2 linked regions of the Caenorhabditis elegans genome follow. The protein of the gene in region 1 interacts with the protein of each later gene in a biochemical or structural test. Each region holds a gene or a part of one and is shown in the gene's direction. Other genes may lie near its edges.

Region 1 (15,262 bases):
TTGTGAAAAATGTTTTCCACTGATTTTTAAACTTTCATAAGGATCCCCTTATGATTCCTCCGATGTTCCAATTTTGAGCAAAAGGGTCCCCCCTTATGGTTGAAAAAAGTTTTTCGCCTAAATTTTTTTTTTGAAAACTTTTCAAAATTTGCTCAGATGTTACAGAAAATGCAATGTTTGTAGTTTTTTTTTAGTTTCAATGTTCTAAACACAATTTCAGACCAAAACCTGAGGTGTAGTATGTAGAACACCTATGTTCAAAAACGCTTTCACTTTGGATGCTTATATCTCCGTGGAAAAATTTTTTGTGACAAAGCGATCAACTACAAAGTTGTTTATTTTAATCTAATGTACAACTTTGTAGTTGAACGTTTTTCTTCAAAAAAATTGGTGGTCGAGATAGGAACAGAAAAAGAAGTAGAAAATAAAAGCATGAAGCTTCCGCAATTAACACAACTTTATCTCGACCACCAATTTTTTTGATGAGAAACGTTCAACTACAAAGTCGTACATTAGATTAAGATAATCAACTCTGTAGTTGATTGCTTTGTCATAAAAATTTTTTCCACGGAGATATAAGCATCCAAAGTGAAAGCGTTTTTGAACATAGGTGTTCTAATACACTTCAGGTTTTCGTTTGAACTCGTGTTCAGCACATCGAAACTAAAAAAACAATCATTTTTACATTTTTCTATAACATCTGATCAAATTATGAAAAGTTTTCAAAAAAAAAAATTTCGAAAAAATTTTAGAAAATTTTCATAAGGGGGGAGCCTTTGGATTTTTTTTCATAAAAATCGAAAAATTTTTTTTTTCAAAAGTTGTCAAATATTTATCAGATATTGTAGAAATATGTTTACTTGTTCGTTTCAATAAGTTTTCTTACCAAATGTGGTGCTTTCGAAAACTAACAAACTGTAAAAACCTCTATCCCTCTAACAGATCTACCTGATATGCCAGTTTTTCGAAGTCATGTCCCACATCGGGCAAGCAAGATATCTAAAAATTGTCAACTACAAACTTTTTTAGTTTGTTATTGAACATGTTTCATACTTAATAGTTTTTTGCTTTCTGTGCAGAGTACGGAGATATCATCAGTCATAATTAGTGATATTTGACTCATAACTAGGTGCTCCTATTTGCTCAGCCATCCAAGATGGAAAAAAGTTACAATAAATAATTTGTCAATCACTTTATTCACAACAACTTTTTAGTTGACAAGTTTTTCATATTTAAGCTGCCTGCGGAGGTAGAACATTTTGGAAGTACTGACTTTCTATGAACAAGCCAAATTGACTGTTGTATTTTTTTGCCCAGGAGTGCGATTGAGCTATGAAAACTGTGGAAAATACTAAAATATACATTTCCTACACAAGTATTGCAGTATTGAAATTTTTTGGAAAAAAAATTTTTCCCAAAATTTTTTCATAAGGGGGGACCCTTATCAAAATTTTAAAATCAGTGGAAAATATTTTTAATTAAATTTTTATTGAACTTAACTTTTTTTCAATTATATGTTGGTTTCAATCACAAATCACATTTACGACTCAAAGTGATTTTTTCTTTTCTACGACTTCAATATAAGAGCGAGAAACCATTTCAAAAGAAGCTCCAAACGCAAATGGCAACGACACTCCGAAATAACGGTTGCGCGCCCTCTTTACCGTAAATCCTCCTCATTTTCGAAATTATTTTTTCACCATTTTTTTCTTTTTCTTCGATTTTTCATAGTTTTCTTCAGCAATTCTTTGATTTTTTTGGCAAAAATAATTATTTTCCGTAAATATACTCGTGTTTCAGCATATCCGACGTTGAGGTACCGATTCATCCGCGGATCCGACGCGGAATCCATAGAAATGGAGAGACTCGTCTCTGGAGTTTGGATGGGAGTGTGCTGCTGATTCTGAAAATTCGAGTTGATAAAATTTTGGGTTAAAAAATTAATGATTACATTGACAAATTGAGCACAAATTTCCGACTTCCGGTCTTTAATTGTAGCATGGATCTCGACTTAATGGACGAATTCTCGGATCAGAGTCTAGCATCAGGGCAATCAAACTGCGAAGATCTGTAGAAGTTCCAGCGAAGACAGTCAGATGGGACAGAATAATGTGATCGACGATGCTCCACCACCAACACGCTCACGTGGACTGTGATATTTGTCAACTCGACGATTATTCATCACGTAAGAAAAATAGTTGATACTTAATTAAAAACCATTTTTTGTTTTCAGCGACTTCAACAATCACCGACTCCTGCCGCCTCGTCGCCTCGGAACGTGTCATCTGCATCGACAAACCCGTCCCCATCCGAATAATTTTCTATTTTTTTTCAAATTTTATTTTATTTTTTTATAAAATAAAAATTTTTATGAACTATCAATTGTTATTAAGGAACCGCAAATTTCAATATATGGCGAATAACGGGGTGCCAGCTAGCTGGGCATTCGGAGCGTCCTCATCATTTACCGGTCCGTTTTTCGCGAGTTCTTCATCGAATAGCGGCCCGCGCCTTCACCAAAGCCATGTACCGTTTTCGCGAAATAGCGGCCCGTCACCCGACGAATATTCGCATGACGCGGTTTACCTGTGCACTCAACCAACCAACCGATGATTTGCTCACACCACGCGCCTGGTGACAACTATGGTGTCCCGGGCTGATGCCGACCGTTGATTTAGTATACAAATCAACCGATTTCAGACCGAATTTTCAAAACGTCATAACTTTGCTGAAACCCAACCTGGGCAGCTAAATTTTTTGGAGGGATCATCTGGAATACTCTTCTATTGGAATTTCAACATGAGAATCCCAAATCTAGGGACCCCCTCAAAGACTTCCCTTGTGAGGGAGGTTTTCGTTTTTAATTAAAGATTTTGCAGCATAAGACAATGGGAGAGTTTCAATATAATTTCGATGATGAGGATACTGTGCTGATCGGAAATTATGAAGAAGTTGGAACAGAAATTGATGAGGCAGATGAACAACATAATGAGGAGAACAGTGAAGATGATGAAGAGGATGAGAGCCCGATTCCTTCAAAAAAGCGAGTTTCGTTTGCTGTTCCACTTGTTCAAAGTCGCTCCAAACAAAAGGATGAAATGAATAAAGTTCATATCATTAAATGCCATTTTGATGTGAGTTTCTGAGAACAAATAAATATGAAAAATCAACATTTTCTTCCCGTTTAGAAGTGTAACAAATCGTACAATTGGCGCAAAAAATACGGTAAACTACGTCTTGTGGATCACGCCTTCACTCATGTCCCTCACTTGAAAATGAAGTGCAATTTTTGTGATTACATGTGCAAAGGAATTAGAAATATTAGGCTTCATCACAAGAAAAGTCATCCTGATGAACAATTAACGGGATTTGGTATCAAAAGGTACTTTGAGATTCCAAAAATTAATGTATTTGTCTTATTTTTCAGTGTGGTCCGTACTTCGAAAAAAGGAAAAGACTTGGCGAAGGTTTGGGATGAATGTTTTAAAAGTAAGTGAAGTATATATGAAAAAGTTATAATTTAAAATGTTAACTTTCTAGAAAATCGTGTCCTTCAACATGGATCTGGTACCGATTCAAACCTATTGCATTTCTCAAGACAAGACAAAGGATCTAAAAGATCACAGAAATCTATGGATTCTGGTGCAAAACAAAAATTGGATGAAGCTAGGGACGAGGATGTGAAGCCATTTTAGTGAGCATTAAGTTTAAAACATTCCGCGTCATTTTTTTATTCAGTTTCTTCAGAATTCGATGAGCTTCGTCGTCGGGCCGTCTGCTTTTTGTAAATTGTGTCTCATGTGTTATTATCGTTGATGTTATATTATGTTGTTTTTAATGCATTCTATGCGACTTTTCTTTTAATAATTCTGAAGGTCTTCATTTTATCACCGCTTTAATTTATAATTACGACATGTTGTTTCACTCAAGTTTGAAAATATTTCTTGCTAAGACCTACTTTAAATGTTAATCGCCGTTTCATTTGGAACTTTCTTGCTGCTGCCCATTTTCGATATAACTTTTTGAAAGTGGAGCACTCCAGATAGACTTAAAATTCTATTAATTTAAATATGTTCTTACAAGAATTTTCTAGATGACCTGCGATGATTGGAACAGTTTTATTCAAGTGAACATTTATGGAAAAACCATAGAAGGACTTCAGCAGCAAGGAGTTGTGTTGGAAACTCTTTTGGTTAGTTTGATTAATAATTTTGATTTCTCGTTATACTTTTTTTCCAAAGTACATATTTTCAGAACAATGTCGGCTGCTCCAAGCTTTGGATTGTGGAGGGATCCGTGTGCACCAGCTCAACTCCTGAAAGCTCTACATATTCTGAAAAACGTACAATCGAACCAGTTGTTTCACTAAGTACAACTCTGGCCACTAACAAGCTTCCTCGATTTTCAACTCCTGCTGTCGGCCATTCAAAATATAATTCTGCAAAAAATTTCACATTGAATTTGGCTGAGAAGCTATCGGAGATTCTATCGGATGACGATAAAACTGATAAATGCCTGGAGAACTCTTATCAATCCGAAACTTCCAGGGAAGACGTGATTCAGGATTTGCTCGAAGAAATGGTACAAACTGTTGCCGATGTTGATCAAGCTCCGATTCTTTTGAGCACAACTCTCGCAAATATTGGTGTTCCCCGCTTTTCAACTCCCATCAAACCACAAAATGGTTTGGATCGAAAGTTTACAATGAACATGACAGAAAGAATTTCCGAAATTGATTCGAATTATCTTGGTTATGAAGTACTCGACGATTCCAACAAAATTTTGACCGCCAACTGCGAGGAAGTCGAAATGTCGTTGTGTGAGAACATTCCTGGTGTCAACAATGCCAGAACTTTCTCAAATACGCCCTACGACGATTTTCTTAATATTTATTCGACTCCAAAAAATCCAAAATCGAATTCCAGTGTTCCATATCAGGAAGGAAAGAGGAGAAGCTCGAGACGTTTGAGTACTCTGAGTAGTCTCAAGGAAACTGTCAAAATAGAGCCTGCAGTCTCAAAATCAACGAAGAGAAGTCGGCTCGCGTAAGTTTTTTTTTTCGTTGCGAGCTTTCTGAATTTTCGAAGTTCGTTTGGAGAAAATGTAATTTCTTTCAAAATGATAAATATGGGTTTTTTTACTAACTGTATGTCTAAAAAGCTCAGGTTCAAATTTTAGATGCATCTAAACTTTAAGCAGAACTCATGTCGATTAAAAAAAAAGTTCCATTATTTAAAAAAAACTTTTTTTGGTATCGAAAGGACTAAAGTTATAAATATACTCAAAACTCCTAACGATTCCAATCACCGATAGTTATTTACTTAAGAATTTCGTTATTTTCAGGCCGATTCAAATTTTAAGTCAAACTGTGCGTCCTAATATTGAACATACATTTCCTGTTTCTACATCAGCTATTCAATCAGATGGTTTTTCGTACGAACATCCAATTAATGAATATGGAGATAATGAATCATTTTCATCAGCAAAAAGTCATTGTGATGAGCCCAGTTTTTGTAATGCTGTCGACTTGAAGCCAGTTCTGAAAGTTTTGAATTCTGGAAGAACAGTTTTGACTGGAAGCATTATCAGTGATCAACCTCCAGTCATAGAACTGTCAAGAGATGTAATGTTTAAAAATCGAATTTGAAATAATCACAACTTGTTGAGTTATCCGTTTTCATTAATGAAATTGCAGCATAACATCGAAGGAGTGTTTCAAAATAATTTCGTTGACGTCGAGGATACTATGTTGATTGAAAACTATGAAGAGGTGGGAGCCGAAATCGTTGAAGTAGATGATCAAGATCAGTATGAGGTTATCAGTGAAGATGATGAAAAGGAAAAGAGCCCGATTCCTTCGAAAAATCGAGTTTCATTTGCATTTCCACTTGTTCAAAGTCCCAACAAACAAAAAGAAGAAATGAATAAAGTTCATAACATTAAATGCCATTTTGATGTGAGTTGTTTTGCCGCGTTGTCAGAGAAAAAACTGAATTTCAATAAAAAGTCGCATAGATATAATGTGTTTCAATCAATAATCTTTTCAGAACTGTAATCGAAAAATTCACTGGAAGATTCGTTATGGAAAACTTAGACTGGTCGATCATGCACTATCACATCAAGAGGAAAAATCCATTGACTGCCAGAAATGTGAATATTCATGCCAGACAACTCGACAAATGCGTTATCACTACAAAAAGATTCATGCAAATCTGAAAATGGAAGGCTTCGGAATTCTCAAGTGAGATTTTTTAAAACTAACCGTTTGAAAACTGATAAACCCCTCTTGTAGCATTCCTCTTCAAAATACCAAATTCTCAGATGTATGGAATAAATGTTTTGGAGGTACATTATTCTAATTATTTAGAGATTACATGCTATTCAAATTCCAGATCAACTGAAAACGATCGGACCCGTTAGAAAAGCTGAACGAACTCCTCGTCGAAAACTCAAAAGTATTCGCTTATAGAAAACCAAAATCTCTTCTAGAGTACAAGCGGAAGATGTGAAGATGTTTTTGTAAGCTCCATAACTGCTCATATCACTAATTTCAAATCCAGTTTTAACAGAATTTAATGAGCATCACGACGACACCCTCATGTACAATTATTATCATGTTCTAATTATTTTGTAGTTTTACAGAAATAAAATACAGTGTTTTTTCAGTTAATTGTGTTTTTTTTTTTTGGATTAATCGTTCTTTTGACGAATCAAACATGATATTTTCACAATTATTTAGAGTCAAAAATGTAGTTTTTATAAATGTAAATGTTAAAAATTATTTCAAAAAAAGAAATGCTGTATGCAACAAAATTTAAAAACTAATTGTAAGTAAATACAGTATTATATTTCTTCCTACCGTATACTTTCAAGGCACATTATACTTTTGTCAAAGGTCTCACAACGATCAGGTCTTTCTTCATTTCTAGATTTGTCGGAAGTATTTTGTTTCGTTTCCGCGTTTTAGTTCCTGTTCTTTTTGTATTTTAACCAGTAGATGAATAAAGACTGTTTTAAGCCTGATATTTATCATCATGATAACAAACTTTCAATTTCTTCACTATTCATTGCGATGAATTTATGTAAATAACGGTTGTCGATACGCCTGAGAACATGTTTTTGGACATTTTTTTAATTCTTGATGTTTTCATGGTATATTTTTCAGATGACCTGCGATGACTGGAACAGTTTTATTCAAGTGAACATTTATGGGAAAACTATAGAAGGTCTTCAGCAACAGGGAGTTGTGTTGGAATCTCTTTTGGTTGGTTTGATAAGGAAATTTTATCTTTTGCTATTTGAATTTGAATAGTAGTTATTATTTCAGAACAATATCGGTTGCTCCAAGCTTTGGATTGTGGAGGGCTCAATGTACACGAGCTTAACTAATGAAAGCTCTACATATTCTGAAAGTACAATCGAACCAGTTGTTCCACTAAGTACAACTTTGGCCACTAACAAGCTTCCTCGATTTTCAACTCCTGCTGTCGGCCATTCAAAATATAATTCTGCAAAAAATTTCACATTGAATTTGGCTGAGAAGCTATCGGAGATTCTATCGGATGACGATAAAACTGATAAATGCCTGGAGAACTCTTATCAATCCGAAACTTCCAGGGAAGACGTGATTCAGGATTTGCTCGAAGAAATGGTACAAACTGTTGCCGATGTTGATCAAGCTCCGATTCTTTTGAGCACAACTCTCGCAAACATTGGTGTTCCCCGCTTTTCAACTCCCATCAAACCACAAAATGGTTTGGATCGAAAGTTTACAATGAACATGACAGAAAGAATTTCCGAAATTGATTCGAATTATCAAGGTTATGAATTATTCGAAGATTCCTCCAATGACTGTACCACTTTGATCCCCAACTGTCAGGAGGTCGAATCGTCATTTTATCGAGCACTTCCTGAAGCAGCTAGTTCCATTGTTCCATATCAGGAAGGAAAGAGAAGAAGCTCGAGACGTTTGAGTACTCTGAGTAGTCTCAAAGAAACTGTCAAAATAGAGCCTACAGTTTCAAAGTTAACGAAAAGAAGACGGCTCACGTAAGAATTTTTCTGACGAGAATTCTGACCGTTCGTATAGCGAATTAAGCAACGTTGATATACTTACTCTATTTTCAATTGAAGACAGACCAAACTTCCAATAATGCCAAAAACCAGTAAAATTAAATATATACTTGAGAATTTCATTGTTTTTTAGATCGATTGAAAGCTCAAATGAAACCATGGTGCCACACTCCGAACCAATTCCACTGGATAAAGATGGATTCTCATATGAACAACCAATTAATGAATATGGAGATAATGAATCGTTTTTGTCAGCAAAAAGTCTTTGCACTGAGCCCAGGAGTTCTATTTCTGAGGACGTGAAGCCGGTTTTGAAAGCTACGGATTCAGAAAGAACAGTTTCGATTGGGAATCATATCGTTGATCATCATCCAGTCATAGAACTGTCAACTGAGGTAGGATTGAAGAGATTTCCTTTATTTCTAATTTGTAAATTGTCGCAACATGATGAGATTTTCGTTTTTAATTGAATATTTTGCAGCATAATACCATGGGAGAGTTTCAATATGATTTCGATGATGAGGATACTGTGCTGATCGGAAATTATGAAGAAGTTGGAACAGAAATTGATGAGGCAGAACAGCAGAATGAGGAAAACAGTGAAGATGATGAAGAGGATGAGAGCCCGATTCCTTCGACGAAAAAAGTTTCGTTTGCTGTTCCAGTTGTCCAACGTCTTAACAAGCGAAACGAGCAAATGAATAAAAATCATATTATTAAATGTAATTTCGAAGTAAGTTCCGATCTGAGCCATTTCTTAGGGAGGATGTTCAGGAAATATGACAACATTTAAAAAAAAGAAGCTATTTTCAGGGTTGTAAGCAAATTCTCTCGTGGAAACTTCGATACGGCAAACAACGACTTCTGGATCATGCAATGACTCATGAAAATGAAAAGTGTCTCGTTTGTCGCACATGTGAATACTCTTGCAGTACACATCCCCAAATGAAGTATCACTATCAAAAAATGCATCCAGAAGTGAGGTGTGATGGGTTTAATATTCAGAAGTAAGCCGTCAATTGTTCAATAAATTATATAAAACACGATTATTTCAGAGTGTTCAATATCGAATTTGATGAAGTGGCGATTTTCGATCTTTTCCAAAAGTGCTTCGGAGGTATTAGACAGATATGAAATATTGATATTCAATGTGTAATTACAGCACATTCTTCCATCATCGGAAATATTGGGAAACCGCGGAGATATAAAAAATGTAAAAACTCGCTGAAAAATACTCCAGAAGTCGACAATGAGAATGTAGATAAAGACTCTCCAGGACCATCACACGATCTTTTCTAGTAGGTTTTTCCATATACTTTATTTTATTCTGAAGTTTAGTTTTCGCAGAATTCGCTGATCGTCTTTCGCTACGACTCTGCACAATGTGTTATTTGTCAACTCATGTAACATTTGCAATGTTTTTTAGTAATAGTTTCATTGTTTTGTTTTGTTTTTTGTTTGTTATTGTCGAGATAAACTTATAAAATATGTTTTTCATTAAAAAATAACTTGTTTTGTAAATTTTTTGTCCGCGAGTTTTTCATCTATAATACCTTTTTTGACTATTAAATTCAGTTCTGTATATATGTGATATCACTAAATTTTAATATACCTTCTTAAAGGCACACGGAGTTATTCAGATGGGCATCGAGGCGCAAAAAGTTTATGGTACTTTTCTTTAACTTTTTCGGCTGCTTCATTCCTTTTTTAAAAACATTACTTCGTTTTTTGCTAATTTTCTTATTAACTTTGCATTTTTCTGTTAAATTTTTTTAATATCCTTCTTCGTGTAAAACATGCATTTTTGATCATAAATGTTAATTGTACTATGGAAAAAACTGATCTAAAACAATTTTAAACAGGAAAATGAGTAGAAAACGACAAACTTCGCTAAAAACTAAGTGATTTTTTCTTGAAAATACAAGAAAAGCGTAGCAGCAAAAAATTGAAAAAAAACCTAGGTTTAAACCTATTTACCATACACTTTTTGTGCGGCGAGACCCATCGGAAAAAATACGAGAAGGCTCGTCAATATCTTGTTAAAATATGAAAATTTTCTAATTTCAAAGATGCATGCCAGATTATTATGAAATAACAGATGACATGCATGTAAATGGGTCTTCTGGCACGATATGGTGCAGCAACAGCAGAATGAGGGAAAACTAGGCCCTCGTGTAAAACGAGATTATTTGTTTTTAATTTGAATATTTAATGCTGTGATTCCCTTTATTTTTGTTGCTCGACCCTATTTAAATGTTTAATAATTATTTTTTCAGATACGATAAATGAATGGAAATTCTTTAAATTCGTTTGTTAATATCAGAATCTATGGAAAAACTCTGGAAAACTTGAAACATTATGGATTGATTGAATATTTGGTAAGCCTATCTTTTTTTCATTGCTGAGTATTCGTTTTTGAAACTATTACGATTTACAGAATGAATTCGCCGGTGGCAGCTCATTTGTTTCCCTCACCGAGAGCACGTCGATATCTTCAATCAACACTGCTACAGTCGATACTCCTCGTTTCTCCACTCCAATCGTTCCAAACGTAGGATTATATCAAAAATTCACACTGAATCTTTCGGAAAAAATATCCGAAATTGGACCGAACGACGAGAACGAAGATTTGAAGGAAAGCTATGATCAAGAACCAGAAGAAGAACTAAATAGTTCACATGAAAGTAATAATAGTGTGGAAAAAGTTATGGATATGATAATCGAAGATGTTGTTTCCAATCATACGACGAATATTGCAGATGGAGACGAGTACGTTTTTTTTTAATACAAAATTTTTTTTTCAATAATTTAAACTCTTTTAGCAGTGAATCTTAAATTACGCTGAATATTTTCTCGTAGTCCAAATTAAAAATTCATTCACTTGTTTTTTCAAAGCTTCGAACCTGTTTTAGACATTACCCATATGCAAAATTTTGTAATTTTTACCCTAGAGATCGATTTTAGTTTAATTCAAAAAAGTGTGCGCCTTTAAAAAGTACTGTGGTTCCCAGATTTTTTTTGTTGAATCATGTATATTAAAATACATCAAGTTTTGAAGAAACGGAGGAAAAACTAGGAAAAATTAATGCGGATTCTGCAAAAACAAAGTTAGTAACTACAGTACTCCTTAAAGGTGCATTCTTTTGAACCTGAAAAAAAACGGTTGCCGAGAGACCGGGTACCGTTAGTCACAAGAATTTAAATTTCGTTTTTTTTTCAGTATTAATTCGCCGATTGTATCATCTGGACAGTCGGAGTTTCTCCAAGACGGTGTAGACAACGATGGAAATATTGATGATTATGAAGAGTATCAGTCATTACCACCGAATGATGATGTTATTATGAATGAAACAGAATTGATGGATGTTGATCGAACCACAGTGATGACTCCATTACGAAGTCCTACATTTTTCGATTATCACAACGAATCCGGTGATGAAGATCAGTTGAATGAGAATGAAATGAAATCTCCAGACAGCAAAAACGACGAGATTAATAAAGATGAAATCCACAATATTCAATGTCATTTCCCGGTGAGTTAAATTTTCTGTTTGTTTTTTTCCATTACCTGGATTGTTGCAGAACTGCAATCGAGCAATTGCGTGGAAGAGGAAATATGGAAAACTTCGTCTTATCGATCACGCATTGGTCCATTGCGATAAAAACTTTCTGAAATGCAAAAAATGCAAGCACACTTGTCATACAATCCGTCAAATGCGTTATCACTATCGCATTTTTCACTCAACATCAAAAATGGAAGGCTTCGGAGTGTCTGGGTAAACTTTCTGAAATTAAAATATTTCAACAAATTGCAAATTTTTCAGCTTGCCAACCAAAAATAAAGGATTCCAAAAAATTATGAATGCTTGTTTCGCAGGTAAGTATCAAGTTAAAAATTATAGTTTTACATCCATATGGTTTTTGATTTTTTAGATTTGCTCTAATTTTTAAATTTTTAAAATCTTCTTGATAAAAATCGACTCAAAAAATTCATTTACTGTAGGCCAAATTGTTCAATTTAATTTCAAACATGGATTGGAAACTGAAAATTCTGTTTCATAATTCAGTTGAAAGTCAATTGTTCAGATCAATTGGTCGAGATGAACAAACGAAAAAATCCTCCAAAATCTCAAAATGGCAGCCGCCGTAGCCGGGTCAAGTCAAAGTCCAAGAGAAGTGGCATCTAGAACTTTGCAAGTTCACAGCCGTTTTATTTTGTAAATATCGGCATATTGCATACTTCATACATTATACATGCCTACAGCACGAATCTCGAAATTTTAATATAATTCGGTTTATGTCATATTTCTACAAAGTTTGTGTCATTAATAAAATCTTATTGATAATCAGCTCGAGATTAGTAAAACTTTGGCTCAGAAAATGGAAATTTAAGATCTGGCGCTTCAAATTGTTTAAAATGATATAAATCTCTACAATCAGGTAATACAAGGGTTAATGAATAAAATTCTTTCAATGCTGTTTGATGTTCTCACAGATTCCTCATCGTACTTTTACGACAAATTCGGCGCCTAAAGCGTCACGATACCCATAAAAAGACACACCGGACCTATAAAAACTTCTTCCTCCACCACTTCTTTTTTTCGATACGAGACGCGCTCATAAAAACGGATATTCATCATTATATACACAGAGATGAAGCAATTTTTTACCTTCTCTTTTTTTCCATTATTTACCGGTCTTATTTTTTAATGGAAAAGTTCCCCCTCTTCGGTCAACTATTTCGATAATCGCTTCATTTATTATAATTGGAGTGAGCGTAGTGAGGCTGTTGCGGTTCAATTATTATGAGCGACCGGCGTGAAAATGGATAGGAATTTATGATGAGTTTCATGTCGGCTCTTTGCAAAATTTGCGTTGCATTCTATGAAATTGCGAATTGGAATTGGAAACAATTTTAAATGACCTTTTGATGTTATTCAAATACTATCCCTTCTAAGAATTTTTCGGCTGACTCCCCGACAACTATGTGCCAAATTTGTCAAAACATATTAACTTGTTCAGAAGTTGTCAAAATTAGGCAAAGGTTAGGTAGGTACTTGGATTAAGCAAACCCAAGTTTAAGCTGATTGTAAGTTTATAATTTCAGAATTAAAGATTTTATTAACTGTGAAAGTTTGAAAGTTTCAGATCCATCCAAAATAATAATTATTTTTGGAGTTGATTTCAAGCATACTTCTACAAAAATTTTTCATGTTATGTGATCATGTAAAGATGATTTCCAAAACTTTCAATCCATTACCCGATATTTACACTATCTTACTGTACCGTACTTCTAAATCATTAATGAGATTAGAATACGTTATTCAGATAGATGTTTGGAAACTGTTTAGCTAAAAATCTTAATTTATAAGCGATTACTATTTACAAATTTACAAAATATGTCTAAATACACCATAGAATAGTTCAATATGTATGGCCAAAAATCATAAGAAAACGATCCAGGAACTTTCAAAATTTTCTAGTAAAGTTGTGGTAAAATGCATTTTTCACAAGGTTTCGTAATGTTTCAACTAAATGTTCCATCTGTAAACAACTTAGTAATTACTGTAGAACAGCTTTTTGTGGAAAGCTCTCAAATAGTTTTGCCGACTAAAATGAACAATTAAAAAACCTGAACAGTTTATTAATTCTGTTTTGTACTTTTACAAAACACCTTCATAGTTAAAGTTTTCCCTTCGATTATTAACTTGAGCCCAAGAAACAATTACGCTTAGCTCTAGAAGCTTCGTACGTAGAAGCTTTGAACCCTAGTTAAAATAAAAGTATGTGTCCAAATCCAAAAAAGATCAACTGCTCTTAACGAAATCTGGCGAAATTCAATTTTAGTAAATCGAATTTCAGAATATTTCATCACGATGAAAAGGACACATTATTATGAAAAGTGCAAAGTGTTGCAAGGATCTTTGAAAATAATTTATTATGGAATAGGAAATGTTAAAATCACTCTAGCTTACAAGATAAGTATAGGTAATACAAAAAATATTTTCTGTGTTAAGATTTTACTATAGTTACAATAAACAAAGCGGGATATTTCCTTGATTATTATGTATCTCCGTGAGTGATAATATTAGTGTATAACTTTTAGTTATCATATATAACTTGGGAAAAATATTTAGCAATAGAATCGGAGCAGAAACTTCACCCTAAACATTAACTATGAGTCTGATAAAAATTTGAAGCATCAGTCAAATCGAATTTTACATCCATCTTCCTTCAATTTTGTTGTTCTTTTTCTTCGTTTCTATTAATCATCCCTTTCTTGTCCTTCTTCAGTTGGTATTCTTCATTTTTAGTGAGAAGTCACTGCTAACATTTCCAGCTGGTTACATCTTTCACACTCTCTTCTTCCAGTTTTTATTCTCTTATTTATTCCATATATTTCTGCTTCGAAGCGCTTACTTACTTACCACCTCTTCATTTCACCAGTAGAGAGAAAAAAAGGGTCGACCCGACCTTCGCTCCGTTTTTTTTTCGACATTTTCTCCTCAATTTTCCTTTTTCTCAAAATTGGTCTTCGAGGATAATAAACTTTGTCCGGCGCTGTGTGTATTCTGCGTCTCGCTTATAATTTGCATGATGATTGCTATACCATATTTCACCTGAAGGCACACTTTGGGAACGAACGACTACCTGCCGAATGGCGCCCATATGTCTCCCTTAATAAGTGAGAAGAGAGTATCTAGGAATAGGAGAGTACTAGAGATATTAAATTAGGGGATCAGAAGGTGCTGCTGCTCCAGATGCCCTTGCGCCACACAAGAATAACATCACTTACATTATCGTCAAAGGAGAAATTGTTTAAAATTACCAAAATATATTTTTCATCATCAGAAGCCAATGTGTATTTTTCTAGGACTTCAGTACTCCGAAAAAACTTATGATTTTGAAACAATTTCCCCCTTCAGGGGCACTAGTAACTAGTTGACATAAAGGTACCCATCTGCTTTTAAGGCGACCTACGCCTGCCTTGTGCATACATGTGTGCCTACGGTAGGAGCCCATAAAATATTTTTTTGTAATTTTTTAAATTATAATTTCAACAAATTTATCAGAACAGTCAGCATATAAGAAAAGTAGCTAATAGCTTAACGTTCGATCAAATACCTTGTTAAATTTTTACCTCCCGTTTCAACCTGTCCCTCTATAATTTCATCAATTAGCTCAAATC
Region 2 (15,582 bases), on another chromosome or scaffold:
CCATGCAATTTCACCCCGAAAACCAATTTTTCAGAAGTTTAGTGCAAAATTCCGTCAAATCAGGTGCCAAGTCCGCAAACACCGTGCTACAGTAACCCAACACACCAGATTTGACGCAAAAATGCACTAAATCGCTGAAAATAGGGGTGTAGGAGTAATTTTGGCTGGGAAAACCGAAAATCGACTTAAATTTCGATTAATTTGAAGTTTAAACTCAGTTTTTGAACTTTTTTCGAAATTTTTTGAAAAATATCGAATTTTCCCAGTTTTAGATCAAAATTTACGGTTTTAAACTAGAAAATTTGAATTTCCCATTCAATTTCACCCCCTGACCTCAAATTTCAGCTCATTAGTGCAATTTCCCGTCAAATCAGGTGTCAAGTCCGCAAACACCACGCTACAGTAACCCAAGACACCAGAATTGACGCGAAATTGCACTAAATCTCTGAAAAATGAGGCTTAGGGGTTTTTTGGCACGGAGAATCTGAAAATCGACTCGAAAATTGAAAAATTCAGAGTTGAAGTCTAGTTTTTTTCAAATTTTCAGAAAAATCTCGAATTTTCCTAGTTTTAGGTCGAAATTTGCGGTTTAAAACTAAAAAATTGGAATTCCCCATGCAATTTCACCCCCTAGCCCCAATTTTCAGCGTTTTAGTGCAAAATTCCGTCAAATCAGGTGTCAAGTCCGCAAACACCACGCTACAGTAACCCAAAACACCAGATTTGACGCAAAATTGCACTAAAACGCTGAAAAATGGGGCTTGGGGGTAGATTTCCGCGGGAAAGTTGAATTTTTAGGTTTTAAACTTGAAAAATTAACGGAAAACCAAAAAAAGTTAGGATTTTTGCAATTTTTCGGGAATTTTGTCGAAAAAAGGGGGTTTTGCCCATTTTTCTTCAAATTTTTCGACTTCTTCTCCGTTTTCTTTCGAATTTCTTCGATTGTAGCCAATTTTCCATCATTTTTGGCGCTTACAGCAGTGGAATCTGGTCACTGTCCTCCTCATTGACCTCCAGAAGCCACCCAAATCCACTATTCTCCATAAATTTTCCAGCGGCTCCAGCATTAGTACGACGATAAGCCTGAGCTGAAATTTGTCCAGTCGGGCTTGAAATTGAGCCGGAATCTGCAAAAAAAAATCGATTTTTTACGGAAATTTCTAGTTTTTTGGCCTAAAAATTCAGATTTTTCGTACTTGGCGCGTTAGATGACTGGTCCGGGTGCTCAAATTGCTCGAAATTCGACGAGTAAAAGCCATTTAAGTCGATAGAGACCTCCGGTTGCTTGACTCCAGTGCCCGGGTAGTCCATTTTCACCAAATTCTGAAAAAAAAACGGGGGTTTTAGGTGGTTTTCAGCGATTTTTTCGAGAAAAATATGAAGAAAATTCAAATTTTCGACAAATTTCATGCAAAAAATCCATTTTAAACAGGTTTTTACGTTAAAAACGTTTTAAAACCCGGAAAAACTGAATAAAATCCAAAAATTCATTGAAAAATTACGGTAGTTCTTAAAGGCGCAGTACTCGTTATCGATGGGTCTCGCCGCGATTTTAATGTTTTTTTGTGATTTTTTAATTTTTACTCAATTTTTGCAAGCTTTGGTTGTTTTTTTCACGATTTTCAAAAAACTTTACAAAAAATTTGAAAAAAAAATCGACTTTCCTATTGATTTTGAGTCTAAAACCAATGAAAAAGTCAATAAATTCGTTAAAAAAACTACGGTAGTTTTTAAAGGCGCAGTACTCGTTATCGATGGGTTTCGCCGCGTCTCGCCGCGATTTTCGTATTTTCGTATTTTATTTAGGATTTAGTTGTTTTTAATCGAATTTTCGCGCAATTTTCTTCGTTTTTTTCGCAATTTTCTCCATTTTTTCGCAATTTTCTCCATTTTTTCAGCGATTTCCATGGTTCGCGGGACAAAAAGACGTCGGAGCTCGGCGGAAAAGTAAAAAATCACCAAAATTTGCCCCAAAAATCGCAAAAAATTCAATTTTTTAGGCCAATCGTGGTGGTTCCGGTCACCCGAGACGACACGATGCCCGTCGACGAGGATCTTGTCGTCGGAGAATCACAGTGTGCTGCTTCAAAACCCTTCGCGAAGCTTGTCGGCGTCCGCCGAGGCATTTCTTCCATCGGTTTGTCGATTTTCCCGCAATTTTCACGAAATTCCGGCTAAAAATCGATTTTCCAGACTTGGCAGACGATCATTTCGTGTGCGGACGCGGCTCGGATGATGCTCCGACGAATTTCAACTTTTCTCAAGTCGCCAAAGACGTCGGGCTCTACAGATTTATCTCGAAAATTCAATTTTCCATTGATAGAGTAGTTTTCTACTGAAAAATCGCCAAAAAAATCAATATTTCAGGACACAGAAACGCGTAGAATCTATCTACACGATCACTCACGCAACGGGACCCTCGTAAATCAGGAAATGATCGGAAAAGGGCTGTCCAGAGAGCTAATGAACGGAGATTTGATCTCTATTGGGATTCCAGCGCTGATCAGTGCGTTTTTGACGATTTTAAAGCTTTAGGGTAAAATTGCCCAAAAAAACGGGTTTTTCCGCCAAAATCCGTCGATTTTTCCCAAAAAAACCCCGAAAATTTGCAGTTTTCGTGTACGAAAGCGCCGACGCCGACCATCATCCGGAGGAACTGACGAAAAAATACCACGTGACGAGCCATTCGCTGGGAAAAGGCGGTTTTGGCAAAGTTTTGCTCGGATACAAGAAATCCGATCGATCAGTGGTACGGGCGGCGTGGGAAAATGCCGAAAATTGGAGAAAAATCGATAAATTTCCAGAAAAATCGATAAAATCTCCGAAAATTGTGAATTTTCGCCAGTTTTGGTGCATATTCAGCCATTTTTTTTGCTGATTTTCACCTAAAAACCGCCAAAATTTACCGGAAACTTGTGAAAATTCAAATTTTCCTCTGAAAAATGCGATTTTTAACTGGAAAAACACATTTATCGATGAAAATTTGCCGAAAACCTTGAAATTTTCACGGAAAATCGATAAAAACCCTCAATTTTTGTGGGAAAAATCGATTTTCAGCCATTTTTTCCCGGAAAAATCATCAATTTTTCATGTTTCAGGTGGCTATTAAACAGCTCAACACACAATTTTCGACAAGATGCAGCCGAGCAATCGCTAAAACTCGAGATATTCGAAATGAGGTTGAAGTTATGAAGAAGCTCAGCCATGTTAGTAATACACGAAAATTGCTGAAAAATCGATTTTTACACGGAAAATTGCTGAAAAATCGAAATTTTCCGCATTTTTCGCTGAAAATTCACGAAATTCGATCAAAAAAGCATAATTTTAAGCGAAAATTGAAGTAATTTTGGTCAAAAATGCTCAAAAATGAGAATTTTCCAGTTTTTGGGCGCTGCTAACACTACAAACTACACATTTTTGGGCGCTCCTAATTCAATTTCAATGGTTTTTGGCCTATTTTCGAGCCATTTTTCACTAAAATTATCGATAAAAAGTGATTTTTCGCGTTAAAAATGCTCAAAAATGCCATTTTAACCCTAAAAATTCTAATTTTTCAGCCAAATATCGTTGCAATTTACGATTGGATCACCGTCGCCAAGTACTCATATATGGTTATCGAATATGTCGGCGGAGGCGAATTTTTCTCAAAAGTCGTCGATTCCAAGTACAATCGAATGGTAAATTGGCCGAAAAAATCCCGAAAATTTCCCTAATTTTTCCATTTTTTCAGGGTCTCGGTGAATCGCTCGGAAAATATTTCGCTTTTCAGCTAATCGACGCGATTTTGGTAATTTTTAGGTAATTTTTCGTCGCTAAAACCGCTCGTTTTTTTTCAGTATCTTCACTCTGTTGGAATCTGTCATCGTGACATTAAACCCGAAAATATTCTGTGCTCGGATAAAGCGGAGCGGTGCATTTTAAAGGTGAAAATTGGCAATTTCTTGGCTCAAAAAAGCTGAATTTTAGTCAATTTTCACCCGAAAAACCTCCAAATTTGCAGCTAACCGACTTTGGAATGGCGAAAAATTCGGTGAATCGAATGAAAACTCGCTGTGGAACGCCGTCTTATAATGCGCCGGAAATTGTGGCGAATGAGGGTGTTGAGTACACGCCAAAAGTCGATATGTTAGTAGAATCATCGGCAAAAATGACTTAAAAATTCGGAAATTTGAGCGAAAATCACTCTAAAATTGTGAAAATCGATAATAAATTCGAATTTTTCGTGGAAAAATCACTAAAATCGATGGAAAATGAAGTTTCTCCACAAATTTTGGCAGAAAAATTGAAATTTTGAGCCAAAAACTACGAAAATTAAAGAAATTTTAGCTTTTATGCTGAAAATCGGATAAAAATCCCATTTTTCAAGAGATTACAGCCGAAAAAAATCAATATTTCCCCGAATTTTGTCAGTAAAAATGGAAAAATTGGAAAAAAACTATCAAAAAAACCGGAAATTTGGTCAGAATTTATTAAAAATTCATGTTTTTCACAATTTTTGACTAGAAATTGCCCAGAAAATCTCAGTTTTCGGTGGTTTTTCACCGAAAAATCGAGTTTTTCGATGTTTTCCCTTCAAAAATTGGAAATTTGGCAAAAAAATTGAGATTTTTCATAATTTTTCACGAGAAAATGCCAAAAAATCTAATTTTCAGCCACAATAATCGAAAAAAAAAAGATTTCCGACGATTTTAGAGTCAATTACACATAATTCCCCGGTTTTTTGAATTTTTTTCGGCGAAAAACTCTAATTTTCAGCTAAAAATCGATAATTTTTGGTGAAAATGAATCAAAAATGGAGATTTTCGTGAAAAATCCGATTAAAAACGTGTTTTTTTCAAATTTTTCATCGAAAATTCGGAAATTTGCTCAAAATTTGGCTAAAATTCAGTAAAAAAACCGTTTTTTCCTGGAAAAATGAGCCGAAAATCAATAATTTCAGTGGAAATTTCAGAAATTTGTGTTTTTTTTAATCAATTTTCAGTCGAAAAATGGATATTTCCCGATATTTTGCCACTGAAAGCGGAAAAATTGGAAAAATCTCTCAAAAAACCCGGGATTTTGGTCAGAATTTATTAAAAAATTCAGGTTTTTCATAATTTTTGACTAGAAATTGTCCAGAAAATCTTAAATTTCGACGGTTCTTCGCCGAAAAATCGAGTTTTTCGGTGTTCCCCTTTCAAAAATTGGAAATTTGGCATAAAAATTGAGATTTTTCCATAATTTTTCACTAGAAAATGCCAAAAAATCTCATTTTCAGCCAATAATAGTCGAAAAAATGCCAATTTTTGCCGATTTCCAGTAAAAATTGGTCATTTTTCCTCGAAATTAGTCATAAATCCCCGGTTTTCTGGGTTTATTTCGGCGAAAAACTCAATTTTTCGGCCGAAAAATCGATTTTCTCCACATTTTTCCATGTTTTTATGCATTTTCAAGTAGTTTTTGGCATATATCTAGACACTTGAAAATGCGAAAAAAAATGATGAATTTTTGATGAGATTCCGTCTTTTTTCGCCTCTTTTCCAGTAGAAATTCCCATTTTTCATAGGAATTTTCATGGCTAATTTGCAACTATTTGGATTTCCTCGTTTTTACGCCTAATTTGGCAATTTTCGTGATTTTTTTCGGGGGAAAAATGCGGTTTTCGACCGAAAAATAGCGTTGAAATTCATTTTTTCGTTCAAAAAACGGAAATTTTCGATAATTTCCGTGGAAAATGACAAAAATTGCCAATTTTTTCGCTGAAAAATTGAATAAATACGAAAAAAAAAACCCAATTTTCATAGATTTTTGCCGCGAAAATCCGAAATTCCGCTCGGAAATCACAAAAACTTTTTCACAAAAAATATATCAATTTTATCCAAAAATTCGATTTTTTTTTTTGAAGAAAAATTCAAAAAATTGAGGTTTTCGCCGAAAAAAACCCAGAAAACCGGGAATTTACGTCTAATTTCGAGTAAAAATGCAAATTTTTACTGAAAATCGGCAAAAATTGGCATTTTTTCGATTGTTTTGTCTGAAAACTAGATTTTTTGGCATTTTCTAGTGAAAAATTATGGAAAAATTTTAATGCCAAATTTTCAGTTTTTGAAGGGCAAACATCGAAAAAATCGCATTTTTCGGCGAAAAACCATCGAAAATTGAGATTTTCTGGGCAATTTCTAGTGGAAAATTCGTTTTTTTTTTCAGCCAAAAATTGTGAAAAACCTGAATTTTTAATAAATTCTGACCAAATTTCGGGGATTTTCATAGTTTTTTTCCCAATTTCTCCACTTTTACTGACAAAATTTGGGGAAATATTGATTTTTTTCGGCAGAAATCTGCAATTTTTACGAATTTTCGACACTACTTTTTGACTCAAAAATTCTATTTTCGGGTCAAAATTTAAGAAAAACTGGCTGAAAATTGAGAAAAAAACGTCGATTTTCACCCAAAACTCGGATTTTATTAAAATAAAAATTTTAAAAAAATTGGTTTGTTTTTTCTGGGGAAAATTGGATTTTCGACCGAAAAATTCATTTTTTCGTTCAAAAATCGGAAAATTTTTAAAACAAATTTTCCCGAAAAACATGAAAATTTCAATAATTTCCGTTAAAAATGACCAAAATTCCCTAATTTTTGCCCGGAAAAATCCGAAATTCCGCACGAAAATCACAAAAACTTGGTTTTTTCGGTCAAAAATACCGAAAAATTTGCAAAAAACTCAAGTTTTTCCACTGAAAATTGGAAAAATAAATCGATTTTTATATAAAAATTCAAAATTTTAGCTTTTCCACTCGAAAAATTCAATTTTTGATGATTTTTCTACTAAAAATTGGAAAAAAAAACGTCAATTATCTCCCAAAAAACTTCAAATTTTCACCAATTTCTTTGCAGTTGGAGCCTCGGATGCGTACTTTTCATCACATTTTCCGGTTATCCACCGTTCAGCGAAGAATATACGGATATGACGATGGATGAACAAGTTTTGACAGGTAAATTGACGAATTTTCAGTGAAAAAAACGGATTTTTGGGCAAAAATCCGTGATTTTGACCTAAAATTCGGGAAAAAATGCGAAAAATAGCCGTTTTCCAAGCAAAAATAGAAATTTTTGACTCGAAAAAGAGCATTTTTCGGTGTAAAAATGCTGAAATTTCGATTTTCAAGCCATTTTTCCGGCCGGAAAACTACCGAAAAAATCGATTTTTAGCGTCTAAAAATTCCAATTTTTCAGGCCGCCTAATCTTCCACGCACAATGGCGTCGAATTACTGTCGAAACACAGAATATGATCAAATGGATGCTTACTGTCGAGGTAAACATGAAAAGAAAATTTGAAGAAATTGGCCTAAAAAATCGAGAATTTGGAGTGAAAAACTGGAAAAATCAGCGAAAAATGAGATTTTTAACTTAAAATACTGGAAAATATGGATTTTTTTGGGGTTTTTCGCCTAAAAATATGTAAAATCATAAAAAATGGCCCAAATTTGATATTTTAAAGTTAAACTACCAACTACAAGTTTTGGGCGCTGCTAAGACTACAAACTACAAATTTTGGGCGCTGCTTAGACTACAAACTACAAGTTTTGGGCGCTGCTAAACTACAAACTACACGTTTTTGGGCGCTGCTAATTCAAATTTTTAACTTTTAAAGTGGTTTTTTGCATTTAAAATGTATAAAATTACATTTTAAAGCCAATTTTTTCAGAAAAAAAAGTAAAAAACTCCAAAAAAAGTGCCGAAATATGAAATTTTCAGTGAAATTTTTCGATTTCTCGTCGAAAAACTCACTAAAAATCAATAATTTCCTAAATGTTTCGCTCTAAAAACGGCCAAAACTTCAAAAATTTCTTCGCCTTAAAATCCCATTTTTCAGAGCTAAAATTTCCTCAATTTTCAGCCATCAAACCGCCCGTCTGCCGTCGAACTAATGAGTACTCAATGGATGAAATGTGCGGATTGTCGTACTGCGAAACAGGATATTTTGAAGAGTATTAAGCCGATTTCAGCAGCAGCTCCAGCTGCACTACAAACTACACAAGCTGGACCTGTGAAAAAGGTCAAAAATTGGAGATTTCTGGCGAAAAATGATGAAAATTCACTGAAAATCGCGGAAAATTGACGAAAAATTAATAAATTTCCATAAAAATCAATAAAATTTCAGAAAAATCAATAAAATTTCAGAAAAATTGATAAATTTCCAAAAACAATAAATTTCCAGAAAAATCAATAAATTTCCATAAAAATCGATAAAATTTCCATAAAAATCAATAAACTTCCAGAAAAATCAATAAATTTCCATAAAAATCAATAAATTTCCATAAAAATCGATAAAATTTCCATAAAAATCAATAAACTTCCAGAAAAATCAATAAATTTCCATAAAAATCGATAAAATTTCTAGAAAAATTCGCAGAAAATCAAATTTAACCCGGAATTTTAGTGATTTCACATAAAAATTCAATATTTCTATTTTTTCGGTTTTCGCTCACGGTTTTCGCTTGAAAATCTTAAAAATCTCATAAAATTAGCGTTTTTCAAGTAAAAACACCTGCAAAAATGGAAAATTTCAGAAAAATGCAGCTAAATTTCAATTTTTTAAAGAAAAAAATAGCGAAATCCACTAAAAATTGAATTTTTCAACTAAAAATCGCAAAAAAATGTTGAAAATCACGTTAAAACCGGAATTTTTCGATTTTCAGCAAAAAATATATGAAAATTTCAATTTTTTAGCCTTAAAAACCCTATTTTCAGGCAAAAATGTGAACAACGTTCCACGTGGGTCCCCACCACTTCACCGCCGCAAAAGTCCGCAATTTGTCGTCAAATCGGGTGTAATTGCGTCCAAGATGTGTCTTTTTGAGGTCTCTTCAACACATAATTTATCATAAATTTCGAATTTTATCCCCCAATTCCCCGTAATTTCCATATTTTCCCGTTAAAATTTTTTTAAAATTCCAATTTATAAGCTCCCAGAGCCCCCCATTTTATTGCGTTTTTCTCCCAAAATTTCGAAAATTGTTCAATTTTTTTGTGTTTTGCCCCACCTCTTGTGCTATTCTCACATGTAAAATTCCGATTTTCAGCATTTTTGATGGGAAAAATCGGATTTTTTAGCTTGAAAATTGATTTTTTTTTAGCTTGAAAATCGATTTTTTTTTTAGCTCGAAAATCAGATTTTTAAGCTTGAAAATCGGATTTTTTAGCTCAAAATTTTAAGCTTTTCCCCCAATTTTAGCTCAGAAATCTGAATTTTTGGCTAAAAATCGAAAATTTTTCTGCAAAAAATTCGAAAAAAATTGAAAAATCCCTAAAATTTGCAAATTTTTTGCCAAATTCTTGAGATTTTATGCTTTTCCTCCTATTTTTTTGCCTAAAAATTCGAATTTTCAGCTAAAAATTCCTATAATTTTCCCAAAATTCTCAGCTTTTCCCCAATTTTTAGCTCAGAAATCTGAAAAAAATCGAATTTTCCAAATTTTTCAGCTAAGAAATCCAATATTTTTCCCAAATTGTGTGGCCAAAAATCCCCCCAATTTGCCCGAAATTCTGAGCTTTTCCTCAATTTAGAGCTCAAAAAATCGGAAAATTTCGCTAAATTTCAAATTTTCCACATTTTTCAGCTAAAAATCCCCCAATTTCCCGAAATTCTAAGCTTTTCCCATTCTTTTTCATTTTTTTTTCATTCTTTTTATTTTTTTTTTCATTTTTTTTTCTAAGCTTTTCCCCCCCCAAAAAAATTTTTTTTTGTGAAATTTTCTGTAATTTTTCTCTGTTCTGTTCTGTTTGCGTTTTTGTTTTCAAAAATTGAACTTTTTTTGTTAATTTTTTTCTAAATTTGCAAAGCTTTTTTCTAGCTCCGTTTAATGGTGTCTTTTCCCATTTTTTTTGTGATTTTTCGGAATTTTTTGCTCTGAAATCTGAAATTCTCAATTTTTAGCTGAATTTTTATTAGGCTTTTCCCCCATTTTTTCAGCTAAAAATCGATAAAAGTCCAAAAAAATTCAAATTTTTTGAAAAAGTGTAAACTTTCAATTTTTGAGCTAAAATTCTAAGCTTTTCCCCATTTTTTTGACTGTAATTTTGTACAATTTCCGGAAAAAATTTGAAAAAAATTGAATTTTTGAAATAAAAAAACACAAAATTTAAAGTTTTACAGTTTCCTCTAACTGAAAATCTAAATTTTTTTTGAAAAAATTCCGAATTTACTAATTTTTGCGGAAAATTTATCGATTTTTCTGGAAATTCATTGATTTTTCTGGAAATTTATTGATTTTTCTGAAAATTCATTGATTTTTCTGGAAATTTATCGATTTTTTTGGAAATTTATCGATTTTTTCGGGAATTTATTGATTTTTCTGGAAATTTATTGATTTTTCTGAAAATTTATTGATTTTTCTGAAAATTTATTGATTTTTCTGGAATTTTATCGATTTTTCTGAAAATTTATTGATTTTTCTATATTCAGAATGCGATTTCTTTCCACATATCAAACGGGTGCTCGACGATGTTGTACAATGCTTTTCCAGAAAAATGCCAAGTCAATAAGAGCCACGTTGATGAGCACAACGGCAGCGGCAGAGGAGTCACGAAAAATAGTGAAAGAAGAGGTTTTTGAGGTAAAAAATGTGAAAAAAAAGGAAAAAAGAGAAAAAAAGAGGAAAAAAAACGAAAAAAAAAGGAAAAAAGAGGAAAAAAGGAAAAAAGAGGAAAAAGAGGAAAAAGGAAAAAAATGAGAAAAAAAGGAAAAGAAAAGAGAATTTTTTTTAAAGAGAAAAAAATGAAAAAAAAAACAAAAAAGAAAGAAAAAAGAAAAAAAATCATTTTTTTTTCATTTTTTTTTCTTTCTTTTCATTCTTTCTTCATTTTTTTTTCCTTTTTTTTTCTTCTTTTTTTCACTTTTCGTTATAAATATTCTCTTAGACGTAAAAAATCGTGAAAATTTAGAATTTTTCTGTCTCAAAGTCCAATTTTCAGCAAGGGAAAAAAACGGAAAAAAATGAAAAAAGAAAAGAAAAGAGGAAAAAAAGGTAAAAAGAACGAAAAAAAAATGAAAATAGAAAAGAAAAGAGGAAAATAACGAAAAAAAAAACAAAAAAAATGAAAAAAAATTTTTAAAAAATGAAAAGAAAGAGAAAAAAAAATGAAAAAAGGAAGAAAAAAAACGAAAAAAGAAAGAAAAAAAACAAAAAAGGAAGAAAAAAATCAAAAAAGAAAGAACAAAACAAAAAAAAATGAAAAGAAAGAGAAAAAAAAACGAAAAAAGAAAAGAAAAAAATGAAAAAAAATGAAAAGAAAGGGGAAAAAAAACGAAAAAAAAAATGAAAAAAGGAAGAAAAAAAAAGAAAATTTTCCTTTTTTTTTGCTTTTCCCCCATTTTTCATTCCAAAACCGCGAAAATGTCCAATTTTTTTTTCAGTTAGATGGTCGAAAATACACTCCAGACGCATTATACAACCTGTCACCAGGTGTTCGACGGCTTTTGGATCGCCGTATCCTCCAAGAATCTTCGAATCCGCTGAATTTGTTGAAAAGAAGAATTGTCGATTATGTACATCAAACATACAGAAAACCAGGTAAAAAAAATACGTGAAAATTGAAGAAAAATCAATGAAATTTCAGAAAACTCGATAAATTTCCAGAAAAATCGATAAATTTCCAGAAAAATCAATAAATTTCAGAAAAATCAATAAATTTTGTAAAAAATTTTTTTCTCAAATGTTATTGATTTTTCTGGAAATTTATTGATTTTTCTGGAAATTTATTGATTTTTCTGGAAATTTATTGATTTTTCTGGAATTTTCACCTTTTTTCCAGGAAATCGCTCGCCACTCTTCACAATTTGTGAATCCGAGCCTCGTGTCGTCACTACTTATCAGAATTTCGACTCTTTACTGACACCGGAGGATCATGTGTCAAGGTTGGGATAAAAATGAGGATTTTTTGCGGAAAATTGGGTTTTGAGACTGAAAAATTCGAGTTTTTCACGATTTTTTACGTCTGAGAGAATTTTTTTTTTCAAAATGAACAAAGAATGAAAAAAAAACGAAAAAAGAATGAAAAAAAACGAAAAAAGAATGAAAAAAGAATAGAAGAAATGAAAAAAAAAAAGAAAAAAGAATGAAAAAAAAGAAAAAACATGAAAAAAAAAGAAAAATAGGAAAAAATGAAAAAAGAATAAAAAAGATTGAAAAAAGAATGAAAAAAATGATAAAAGAATGAAAAAAGAATGAAAAAGGAATGAAAAAGGAATGAAAAAAAAAGAAAAAAAAATATAACGAAAAAAAAACGAAAAAAGAATGAAAAAAAAAACGAAAAAAGAATTAAAAAAGAATGGAAATAAAAACGAAAAAAAAATGAAAAAAGAATGAAATTTTTTTTTCTTTTTTCGTTTATTTCTCTTTTTTTTGTTTTTTTTTTGCATTTTTTTTCATTCTTTTTTCATTTTTTTTCGTTTTTTTTCCCTTTTTTTAAAAATTTTTCTCCTTTTTTTTAACTTTGCATCATTTTTTCTAATGAAAATGAAAAAAATAAATAAAATTGTAGTGAAAAATCCGAAATTACCAGTTTTAAAACCAAATTTTAAGCCTAAAACGTCAAATTTCAGTCCAAAAATCGAAAAAAAAATTTTAGACGTCCCTCAGATACGTACTACGTGAACCATGAGCACTGCTTGCGAGCCCATACCTCGGCTCACCAGCACAATTTAATGCAATCGGGTCTCGACGCGTTTTTAGTGATTGGAGACGTCTATCGGAGGGATGAAGTCGATCGGACACATTATCCATGCTTCCATCAGGTTCGAAATGGAGAAAATTTGAAAAAAATCCAGAAAAATCGATAAATTTCCAAAAAAATCAATAAATTTCCAGAAAAAATCAATAAATTTCCAGAAAGATCAATAAATTTCCAGAAAATCAATAAATTTCCAGAAAATCAATAAATTTCCAGAAAAATCGATAAAATTACAGAAAAATCAATAAATTTCCAAAAAAATCAATAAATTTCCAAAAAAATCAATAAATTCCCAAAAAAATCAATAAATTTCCAAAAAAAACGATAAACTTTTTTTTACGCTGCCAAGCCTAATTTTGAACCCCTTCAACCTATAAAATCATAATTTTTGTGCTCCGATCAGGCTTTTAGCTGTGAAAATCTGAAAATTCAGGCCCGGAAGCCTAGTTTCAGGCCTTTAAGCCTAACAATTGAACTTTTTTGTGGCTTCTGTGCCTCTACTCGAATTGGTGGTACAAATCCGGTATTCTCGGCTGAAAATGCAATAAATACCGCGTTTTTTACCAACAATTCGCGATAGAGCGCATTTGCCACCGGAGATGCGGAAGCTATGCCCAAATTTTCATTTTTAACTCAAAAACTTGTGTGAAAATTTGCAAATCAAATTTTGATTTTTTGCAGATCGAAGGTGTTCGGCTCTACTCGAAAGACGAACTACTCGGCAAAAAGCCGGACGGAAAAAATGTGGCCGAACTTTTTTCCACGGCCGCCTCCGCGGCCACGGAGAGGTCCCCTGAAAAACAGGAAAAACACACGTTGGACGCGACGAAAGCCGCCGAAATTCAACTGAAACAGTTTCTCGAAAATCTTTGTGATGAACTTTTCGGAAAAGACGCCGAAAAACGATGGGTTGATGCATATTTCCCGTTTACACATCCCTCGTGGGAGTTGGAGGTGCGGGCGGAAAAATCCCCATTTTCGACAGGAAAATCTGAAAATGGCAATTTTTTACCAAAAAATTCGAATTCCCCGCCGCAAATTACCCCTAACCCCCCAATTTTTCAGCGTTTTAGTGCAATTTTGCATCAAATCTGGTGTCTCTGGGGTTACTGTAGCGCGGTGTTTGCGGACTTGAAACCTGATATGACGCAAAATTGCACAATTGCGCTGAAAGTCGGGGGTCAGGGGTAAAATTGCATGGGGAATCTGAAAATCGAATTCAAATTTTAAGATTTCGAAATTGGAGCTCGGTTTTATAGACTTTTGAGCATAGGATTTTAAGACAAATTGGATTTTCACGGTTCCAATTTGCAATTTTCGATTATTAAGTGAGAAATTCGAATTCCTCGCCGCAAAATACCCCTACCCCCATTTTTCAGCGTTTTAGTGCGAAATTTCGTCAAATCTGGTGCCCTGGGTTACTGTAGCGCGGTGTTTGCGGACCCTGGCACCTGATTTGACGAAAAATTGCACTATTGCGCTGAAAATCATCGGAGCCCAGAGGTAGTTTTGCACGAGAAACTCGAAAATCGCGACGACAATTTTGCCAAAAAGATGAACGTTTTTTCTGAGATTTTGAAGGAAAAATCTCAAATTTTCTGCAGTTCGGTTGAATTTTTTCGCTCTGAAATCAAAAAATTCGAATTCCCCACTGCAAATTACCCATCACCCCAATTTTTCAGCCCTCTAGTGCATAATCCTTTCAAATCTGGTGCCAAGTCCGCAAACACCGGGCTACAGTAACCCAAAACACCAGATTTGACGGAATTTTGCACTAAAACGCTGAAAATTGTGGGTTTAGGGGTTATTTGCGATGGGCAAAGCGAATTCAATAGTTTCAAAACAAGAATTCCAGCCTGAAATTGTAAAAATCAATATTTTCCTGACTATTTTCAAATTTTCACCAAAAAAAACTTTGGCGAAAATTAAAATTTTCCAATTTCCGAGTTGATTTTCAGATTCTCCATGCCAAATTACCCCTAACCCCCGATTTTCAGAGTTTTAATGCAAAATTCCGTCAAATCTGGTGTTTTGGGTTACTGTAGCGCGGTGTTTGCGGACTTGACACCTGATTTGACGGAATTTTGCACAAAAACTCTGAAAATTGGGATTCAAGGGTAATTTGGTACGGAGAAACCGATTTCAATAGTTTCAGAACGAGAATTCTGGCCTGAAGTGGTGAAAATTCATAATTTTCTAAAAATTTTCAAATTTTCACTGAAAAACTTGTTCCAAAACTCTAAATTTTGAAATTTCGAGTTGATTTTCAGATTCTCCATGCCAAATTACCCATACCGCCCAATTTTTCAGCCCTCTAGTGCAAAATCCCGTAAAATCAGGTGCCATGGTCCGCAAACACCGCGCTACAGTAACCCAAAACACCAGATTTGACGCGAAATTGCACTAAACCTCTAAAAATCTGGGTTTAGGGGCAATTTTGCACGGAGAATCTGAATTTTAACTTGAAATTTCAAAATTTTCATGTTTAGACCCCCGAAAAATCCAATTTTTCAGGTTTTCTACAACGGGCAATGGCTTGAAGTGCTCGGTTGTGGAATTATGGAGCAAAAATTGCTCGAATCCGCCGGAGTAACTGACAAAATTGGTTGGGCATTCGGTATAGGGCTGGAGAGAATTGCAATGGTGCTCTATGGAATTCCGGATATTAGGTAGACTTTGAAAACTCTGATTTTAAGTGAAAAATTCGAATTCCCCGCGCAAAATTACCCCTACATCTTGATTTTCAGCCATTTAGTGCAATTTTCCGTCAAATTTGGTGTTTCGGCTTACTGTAGCCTGGCGTTTGCGGACCCTGGCACCTGATTTGACGGAAAATTGCGCTAAAACGCTGAAAATTGCGGTTAGGGGGT

Evidence for each region.
Region 2: of the proteins of zim-3 (region 1) and chk-2, one has a biochemical effect on the other in vitro, tested with the Caenorhabditis elegans proteins (one study listed by BioGRID).

What each region holds. Positions count from the first base shown.
Region 1 is NC_003282.8:10,551,556-10,566,817, forward strand, and holds zim-3 (C2H2-type domain-containing protein), read left to right. Parts: upstream 1-7,159; 5' UTR 7,160-7,165; coding exon 7,166-7,264; intron 7,265-7,327; coding exon 7,328-8,049; intron 8,050-8,206; coding exon 8,207-8,468; intron 8,469-8,554; coding exon 8,555-8,806; intron 8,807-8,886; coding exon 8,887-9,080; intron 9,081-9,128; coding exon 9,129-9,190; intron 9,191-9,235; coding exon 9,236-9,371; intron 9,372-9,411; coding exon 9,412-9,430; 3' UTR 9,431-9,655; downstream 9,656-15,262. Other genes in the region: zim-1 (C2H2-type domain-containing protein), read left to right, coding at 2,880-3,134, 3,189-3,382, 3,428-3,489, 3,541-3,694, 3,739-3,757; zim-2 (C2H2-type domain-containing protein), read left to right, coding at 4,094-4,192, 4,255-5,045, 5,344-5,623, 5,696-5,956, 6,048-6,241, 6,293-6,345, 6,393-6,469; him-8 (C2H2-type domain-containing protein), read left to right, coding at 10,359-10,451, 10,511-10,842, 11,294-11,606, 11,656-11,849, 11,898-11,950, 12,160-12,260.
Region 2 is NC_003283.11:19,902,298-19,917,879, reverse strand, and holds chk-2 (Serine/threonine-protein kinase chk-2), read left to right. Parts: upstream 1-1,856; 5' UTR 1,857-1,906; coding exon 1,907-1,947; intron 1,948-2,000; coding exon 2,001-2,137; intron 2,138-2,193; coding exon 2,194-2,324; intron 2,325-2,367; coding exon 2,368-2,506; intron 2,507-2,612; coding exon 2,613-2,749; intron 2,750-3,098; coding exon 3,099-3,206; intron 3,207-3,557; coding exon 3,558-3,677; intron 3,678-3,730; coding exon 3,731-3,787; intron 3,788-3,836; coding exon 3,837-3,923; intron 3,924-4,000; coding exon 4,001-4,125; intron 4,126-6,873; coding exon 6,874-6,971; intron 6,972-7,212; coding exon 7,213-7,292; intron 7,293-7,877; coding exon 7,878-8,036; intron 8,037-8,731; coding exon 8,732-8,743; 3' UTR 8,744-9,794; downstream 9,795-15,582. Other genes in the region: Y60A3A.19 (Protein YIPF), read right to left, coding at 977-1,127, 1,197-1,311; fars-2 (phenylalanine--tRNA ligase), read left to right, coding at 10,447-10,596, 11,397-11,553, 11,795-11,897, 12,611-12,776, 13,394-13,666, 15,227-15,381. UniProt on the Caenorhabditis elegans protein: Serine/threonine-protein kinase which is required for checkpoint-mediated cell cycle arrest, activation of DNA repair and apoptosis in response to the presence of DNA double-strand breaks.